Linked DNA regions of Neurospora crassa OR74A. The protein of the gene in region 1 purifies or fractionates together with the protein of each later gene. This does not show direct contact. Links are inferred from orthologs where the notes say so. Each region holds a gene or a part of one and is shown on either strand. Other genes may lie near its edges.

Evidence for each region. Proteins that work in one complex are often made in the same cells at the same time.
Region 2: the proteins of gel-3 (region 1) and NCU08339 purify together in Saccharomyces cerevisiae (affinity purification with western blotting; 3 studies listed by BioGRID). This does not show direct contact. The link is inferred for Neurospora crassa OR74A from reciprocal best matches to the Saccharomyces cerevisiae genes GAS1 and EMP24.

What each region holds. Positions count from the first base shown.
Region 1 is NC_026505.1:671,070-675,133, forward strand, and holds gel-3 (beta-1,3-glucanosyltransferase), read left to right. Parts: upstream 1-1,255; 5' UTR 1,256-1,581; coding exon 1,582-1,665; intron 1,666-1,730; coding exon 1,731-3,275; 3' UTR 3,276-3,791; downstream 3,792-4,064.
Region 2 is NC_026501.1:5,695,193-5,699,045, reverse strand, and holds NCU08339 (endosomal P24B protein), read right to left. Parts: upstream 2,324-3,853; 5' UTR 1,805-2,323; coding exon 1,607-1,804; intron 1,449-1,606; coding exon 1,053-1,448; intron 945-1,052; coding exon 927-944; 3' UTR 567-926; downstream 1-566. Other genes in the region: NCU08338 (hypothetical protein), read left to right, coding at 1-481; NCU08340 (ADP-ribosylation factor 1, variant), read left to right, coding at 3,425-3,581, 3,673-3,853. UniProt on the Saccharomyces cerevisiae protein: Constituent of COPII-coated endoplasmic reticulum-derived transport vesicles. Required for efficient transport of a subset of secretory proteins to the Golgi.

The sequences.
Region 1 (4,064 bases):
AATTGAAAGTGATGAACGTCAAGCGCCAACAAGGGAAACATGTTCATCCTTCATTCCCCATCTTCATCCCATATTTCCCTCAGCCCCCCCTATCTTAACCAACGGAATGCTTGAAATGGCAGGCCGGCGGAAGTGGCGTCGGACATTCCCTCCTCTTCTGGACGGCCATGTCACGTGCCATCGGGATCATCGATCGGCTTCCCTTGAACTTCTCCTTGAAGGGTTCAATCTTTGGTCGCCAGAAAATGAACGAACCGATCGATGTCAGCCAAACAATCGAACCCCCTGGGCCGGTCGCTCAATGCCCGTTCCTCGGTTGGTCCACACAATGCTGCTTGTCTGCCCCAGGTTCGGTAGAGCTTCCACGACTCCTCCTAGAGAAAAAGGGTACGTAGGTCCTCTCTGGAGACGAGTCCACACATTGTCAACAGGCGAAATGAAGATGGCACACTGATACTACAACGGTGCGATGGGCGGTCAACGGCCTTTAAATCTGGTCAACATGGTGATATGCACACGGGATTTACGTGCATGCTGCATCGACTTTGATGGAATCCCGGCAGCATCGAACGAAGCCGTGTTGTGGCCGTTGGCGTATCAATAACGATTCATTGGATTCAATGTGTTTCTGTGTCTCCAGACATGAGCGACGAAACCGGGCAAAGAGGAATCCAGAACTCCTCCCCCAATGTCTGATCATCCCTGCGTAAAACGAATTATGTACACACTACCAATCCCACATGCGACGAAACCCACTCAGTCCCCATGTAGACGACTCCACCCGTCGGTTTCGAGTTCATCTTTTACGGTGCCGTGTGGCGTTGGAGACATGTTGACGGCCAGAACATTGACTGGAAAGCTGCCGAATGGAAAAACAAGATGGTTGGCCGATGAGGTCTGCGACATAGAGATTAGGTAGGTTCACAGTGTGATGATGGACGCATCAATGATAGGAAGGTAGTTGGACGACTCTTCGCGACTGGAGTCTGTGCTGTCAACTGTTTAGGTTGGTGTAGGTAGGCCCCTTCCACTGCACTGCATCGTCCGTCTGCTGCAGCAGGCATGCGTGAGCGGACTGGAGACATCGATGGGCCCGTAGGTTGCTGGGGTTCTTGACCCACTCCCTCCCCTCCCACCACACCACCGGGCTGACCGGCCAATAGCGGACCCACCACGACACACACAAGCTGACGCACAGACCAACTTGGTCTCCATTTCCACGCTTGCCAATCTCCGTCGCCTTCTTCTTTCCTCCTTTTTCCACCGCATGTCCCCCCCCCCCCCAAAGTCCTGACCTGTTTCCATTTTCCATTTCCTCCATCTTCTCTCCATTCACTCACTCCTGCCCATCCACCCAAATCCATCCATAGAAGGGGGCTGAACACATTATAGAGGTCTTTCGCTACTGCCTCTTTTCATTCTATCTCTTCCCACACTCTTTAAAGGAAACATAATTACACGATACACTCGGCCAACAGCTGGAGGATAATTCCCGACATCGATACTTTGCGCCGTATCTTCATCCATTTTCTGCGCCGAATAGAACACCGCCTTTAATCAACATTTTGACACACAGCAAAAATGGTTACCTCTAAAGCCGCCATTGTCGCGGGCCTCACCCTTGCGGGCCAGGCTTCCGCTGCTCTCCAGCCCATCGTCATGAAGGTAGGCATACCACCACCGTCGCACCCTCGAAGCGCCTCCAATGCTAACCACACTCGATTCCACAGGGCAGCAAGTTCTTCTACGAGAACGGCACCCAGTTCTACATCAAGGGTATTGCCTACCAGCAGGATGCTGCTGGCGCTGGTGGCGAGACAACCACGGGTACCTTCAAGGATCCCCTCGCCGACGAGGCCGCCTGCAAGCGTGATGTTCCCATCATGGCCGCCGCTGGCACCAACGCCATCCGTACCTACGCCATCGACCCTACTGCCGACCACAGCGCCTGCATGAAGCTCCTTGACGAGGCTGGCATCTACGTCATCAGCGATTTGTCCGAGCCCTCCACCTCCATCAACCGCGACGACCCCAGGTGGGACATCACTCTCTACAAGCGCTACACCGCCGTTATCGACGAGATGAGCAAGTACAGCAACGTCATCGGTTTCTTCGCCGGTAACGAGGTTTCTAACAACGCCACCAACACCGACGCTTCTGCCTACGTCAAGGCTGCTGTCCGTGACTCCAAGAACTACATCAAGAACAACGTCAAGCGTTGGATGGGTGTTGGCTATGCCGCCAACGACGACGCTAAGATCCGTTCCGAGATGGCGCACTTCTTCAACTGCGGCAACCAGAGCGAGGCCATCGACTTCTGGGGCTACAACATCTACGAGTGGTGCGGTCACAACACCATCAAGGGCTCCGGCTACCAGGACCAGATCGACTTCTTCAAGAACTACTCGGTCCCCGTCTTCTTCGCCGAGTACGGTTGCAACATCCCCGACGGTGCCGACGGCCGTATCTTCGAGGAGACCACCGCCCTTTACTCTGATGCTATGACTGACGTCTTCTCTGGCGGTATCGTCTACATGTACTTCGAGGAGGACAACGACTATGGTCTCGTCAAGGTTTCCGGCAACAGCGCTAAGACCATGAAGAACTACGACAAGCTCAAGGCCAACGTCCTCGCCGCCAAGCCCAAGACCGTCGAACTCGATTCCTACAAGCCCGCCAACGAGCCTGCCGAGTGCCCGGATGTCACCTCCAACTGGCAGGTCACTGGCGACGCTCTCCCCCCTACTCCCAACGAGAGCCTCTGCGAGTGCATGTACAACTCCCTCACCTGCGTTCCCAGCAAGGATGTCAAGCCCACTGCCTACGGTGAGCTCTTCGGTGTCGTCTGCGGCAACGACCCCGCTGCCTGCGCTGGTATCCAGGGTAACGTCTCCACTGGTGTCTACGGCTCCTACGCCATGTGCAACTCCCTCCAGCAGCTCGGCTACGTCATGGACCAGTACTACAAGAACCAGAAGTACGCTTCCACCGCCTGCGACTTCAACGGTCAGGCCTCCGCCAACGGTGCCGCCAAGGCCGACCCTACCTGCTCTGCCGCTCTCAAGAGCGCTGAGGCTGCCAACAAGGTCGCTGCCACCGCCACTGCTGGCCACGGCAACGGTGGTGTCGATGGTTCCAGCGGCGGTGCTGCTGCCACTAGCTCCTCGTTCGCTGCCCCTGTCGCCATGAAGAGCTTCTTCACTGTTGCCGACATGGCCGTTGGTATGTACGTCGTCATCGCCATGGGCGTTGGTGCCGGCATGGTCATGCTCTAAGCAAGTCAAGTGAGCGAAGGGAGAGTTCGTTGGTTGTTGTATACCCGGGAGATCAGGAGGAAAGCATGTATATGGGGGTTGGTGTGGTTCGCTTTTAGATGTCGGTTAGGTTTTTGTGTGTAATAAATTGATGTCTTATGGTACACCCGCTCCCGAGCACAAGAAACCATTTGCATATGTTGTTGGGAAGTCTAATGAGTCTGATTGTCTCTTTCACCGGCGCACCTTTTTCTGTTTTTTATGTTTGGTTCGTTTCTGTAAGGGATTATTGATACCTTGGAAACAGCGGTTTAGATCTCTTTCTATCAGTTTTCCTTATCACAAAAGGAGGGTTGTTTGTTTGTCTCGAGCGCAGCTGGTCATCACATCACCACTTCTGTAGCCATTGATCATTCTAGGATACCTTTTTTTTTCTTTATCAGATATCAACATAGACAGTTGATTAACTTCGCATTGTCTTTGCTTCCAACATGGTGTTTGTAGAGTCTTGTCGTGACTTCCATGAAAAGTGCACGCCTTCTTCTCTTGTGTCTTCCTGTTACGTGATGTGATCGTCTTTGTGTCGTTACCTCAGTCTTTGCTTGCCTACTCCCTCGACGTTTGCGCGGCAAGACAGCCTAGAGGTACCGAAGTGAAGTGCCTAGCCCGTCAGGCCATCTCGAGTCCATCCACCCAGTTAAACTAGCAAAGAGGATGGAGGAAATCATGAAGCGCATCAACCATCCATGCGTGTGCCATGTTTTCGCATTCCCTACATTGTCAGAGGTACTCACTCCAGCTGTAGAGGTG
Region 2 (3,853 bases), on another chromosome or scaffold:
GGCCTTCAAAAAGCACCATGCCTTCCCGGAGATGTGGCCGGCCACGGTTGCGCTCCACCACGGCTACAAGGCCGTCTTTGCCCCTCACCCTCTGTTCGTCGACCGCGAGTGGCCAACCGAGTACATGGCGCACATCCTCAACGGCGGGCGTAACGGAGCCTCGGGCGGGTCGAGGACGTCCGTGTTTGGTAACCGCGAGCATAACATGAGGGGCCTGACATGGTTTTATAATGCCGGGTTCTCAGCTAACCTGTATAAGCGGTGGTTGGGGCTCAAGATCAATAATGACGGTGGGGAGCAGTTCGAGCTGAAGCCGGATAATAGCGCCGATGACCAGACGGTGTCGACGATGCGCGGCGGCGAGGGGAGGATGTGTTTGCCGCCTATGCTGTTGCATCCGGTTAAGGACGTTGTGTTGCCGGTTGAGCAGGAGGCGGAGGAGGCCAAGGTCACGATCCCAGAGTCGGATCCATCTGCTTGAATGTTTTGCTTGTTTATTTCGTTGAGCGGCGTTTGGGTGATATGTCTAGTGATAACTCTGCTTTGGCCTCAAGTGTCTTGAGTTTGGAGAAGCTTTGAACAGGTTGGGAGTGGCGTTGGTGAATATGACCTAGATGGCAATGCATCATGCAGTAATATTAGACATAGAATCGGGAAATGGAAGATATCTTTCCCCGGGACATCTTGATTACATGGTTCACATGCGTGAGACACGCTAGATTTTCGTTCGTCATGTAGTAGGCAGTTCCATTATCATATCATTTGTTTTCGTATCCCCATCCGGCTGACCCATCCCAAGCGCCCAAATATGAATGGTTCCCAAAGCAACTTGTCGTATAAAGCGACTTAAGTATTATGAAATTGTTGTTGTTATTGATGAGGGGGGGAGTATTCCATCCGATGGGGAGGCAGTATCGGGGTCCAGTTCAAATAACCCGCTTGACCTAGATCAGGAGTTCAGGGGTTAGCTCTTGAGTCCTAGCCATGTCTCCTAGCCTTCTTCTTCTTCCTCTCCCTTCCTGCCAGAGTCCTTGAAAGAGTTGTCAACATACCTCAAAGAACCTCTTCAACCACCAGACTTGGAACAGGGACTCGCCCACCACGACGCCAACGATAAACAGGTTCCACCACTTGACGCGGGCGTTGGTGCTCTCGGCCGTGTTACGGTGGGTGCGCTCGCGCACGACAATGTAGCTCTGCTCGTCCTTGACCATCTCCAACATCTCTGACAGCTTGCGCACCTCAACCTCGAGTGGGTCTTGGGGCGCGTCCGCCTCGGAAATGTACACGATGCCGTGCACGTTGAACGAAACCTCCTTGGTGTTGGCGCCCCAATGCTCGTTGCCGAAGCAATACACATACTTGCCGTCGTGCTTGGCCTCGAACGAAAAATCGCCGTTGGATATAGACTTTTCAAAGGTCTCGTATTGGTTTAGGGGGTTGGTGATCTATGCATCGGCCCTTGTTAGCTTCTCTGTTGCAGGTCTCTTTCTTGCAAGGTTCTTGTTCGGTGTCTGGTCGAAGAATCGAAGATCGATGATGATGAACAGTAGTAGATTGGCGGTCGGGCTACGTGAGGAAAGGTGATACGAAGGGGACGACGCACCCAGAAATCGATGTCGAGATTACCGGCACTGCCAAACTCGCGGTCGCCGACCTGGAAGGTCACCGTCATCTTGTCATCGCGATGGAGGTTCTCGTGGAAGCATTCGCGGCCGTGGGCGGGAAGGACGATGTTGTGAGCGGCGGCGGCGCCGAACAAGCTGGCCGAGAGCAGCAGCTTAGCTGCTGTGAGGAACTGCATTGCGGCCGATTTACGAATTTCCCGGGGATGGCGATGAGCGACTGTGGAGTTTGAAGAGGATTCAAGCAAAGATATGGAAGCTTCCGTTCTGGTTTCGCGAGACGTTTTGGGAGGACAACTTGGCGATTCACAATTACCCCTACCTCTCACAATTCTGGCAGGGCAGCAGAGTGGTACCTAGCGCGGCGCAAGGTCGGGTCCCGCCAGCATGCATGCGAAGTACCTAGGTACACCCAGCCCGGGGCCCCTTTCCTTGTCGCTGCTACCGCGAGCACCCAGGTCCGGGTGTTTGGCCTTGGCGTGTCCCAGCATGAACTGAGACTCTGGCCTATCAGAGTTGCCGGGGTACCGGGGTCCAGGACTCCCCAGGGGGATGACTGGCTTGTGAAGCTCGAGGCTATCAACAATGCCAAATGGCACCTTGGAAGCACAAAGGGACTGGGTAGGCCGAGAAGAAGGGTGCCGTGTCGAATGACGAGCGACTGTGACAAAAACATCAAGGGATTCGGTCCAATGTTCTTCCCTACTTGACCTTTCAAGGTAGGTAATCTTCCAGGAGGGATGGAGGGGTACCAGCAAGGTACCTCGTTGCTCCTGCGTGCTGCTCAGCCGAGTTGACGTTGATGCAGGCGAAAAGGGGCTGGCCAGATAAGGTAGTGTAGTGGTAGCTCTTGAGTAGAGGGCATCTGGTGGGCCGTGCACGCTCTGATGGCGGGGATGCAAGAGCCAAGGAGTCTGAGGAGTGGCCCCTCGAACCCACCCCAACCGAGCCAGCAGTCGTCCCCTCTGGCTGTTCTTTGGAAATCCGCCGGGGGCAACCAGGCGGCCATGCCAGGTGGGCGACCCGTGTGTGGGTGGGTGAGAGCGGGCGGGCGGGCAGGCTACTTGGTGTCGGAACGGTCGCCCTGCCCAAGAACAACTTTCAAAATCCGTGGCAGAGACCTGACGGCCGGAGACACATTCTCGCCCGCTTGCCTTCCTTCCACCGCACACCGCCATCAATCCTACCACCATCCACATTCAACACCATATTTCTGCTGCCACCGGTGACGCGCATCCCAAACATCGCCGTCCCCATTACTTGAGGACAAGCCTCCATAGTAAGTACCCCATCATTGTTGTCGCTTGTCACGATCCCCTTCTCTGGCCCCCCTGGCAGTCAGCGAATCAATCACGCCGTTGCAAGGCACCTCCGTGGTATCCCATCGGCGCTGCCTGCCACAGCTTTCCCATTCCGTGTCTGCCTGCCTCTACCTTCGCACTCGAACGCGTGTCTTCTGGCTGGTGAAGGACGTCGTCGAGTGGCCAAACGACGCCAACCAGTTCGTTACCCGTCGCAGCCCTGCGGGTTTACCTTGTCCGTGGCATGCTGTTGTGTGCCTGAGGATAGCGAATGGCCGGACACCACTTATCTGTCCTCACGCGGGCCGTCGTCATTAAATGCCCACCCGTTGTCCCCATTGTCATCAATCGCACACTTCCTCTCAACACCACCACCCCGACGAGCATTCAACAGTCCATCTCGGCCACACCAACGATCCATTTGCTTACGCTTTGCCGCCGAAACAGATAGTTTTCTACACTTGCAACCTTAGCGTCGCCTAATACACAACCGCCAAGATGGGCAACACGCTCTCGATATTCGGAAAGCTCTTCGATGGGCTCTTCGGCAAGAAGGAGATGAGAATTCTCATGGTCGGTCTCGACGCTGCCGGAAAGACCACTATTCTCTACAAGCTCAAGCTCGGTGAGGTCGTCACGACCATCCCGACCATCGGTACGCCACTCGCCATGCTCCCCCCCTTAGTACATATTGATGGCACAGACCCACTCCTCGCGCGAGCACGCTCACTGACATGTTTGTCCAGGCTTCAACGTCGAAACCGTCGAGTACAAGAACATTCAGTTCACCGTCTGGGATGTCGGTGGTCAGGACAAGATCAGGCCTCTGTGGAGACATTACTTCCAGAACACCCAGGGTATTATTTTCGTAGTCGACAGCAACGATCGCGACCGTGTTGTCGAGGCCCGCGAAGAACTCCAGCGCAT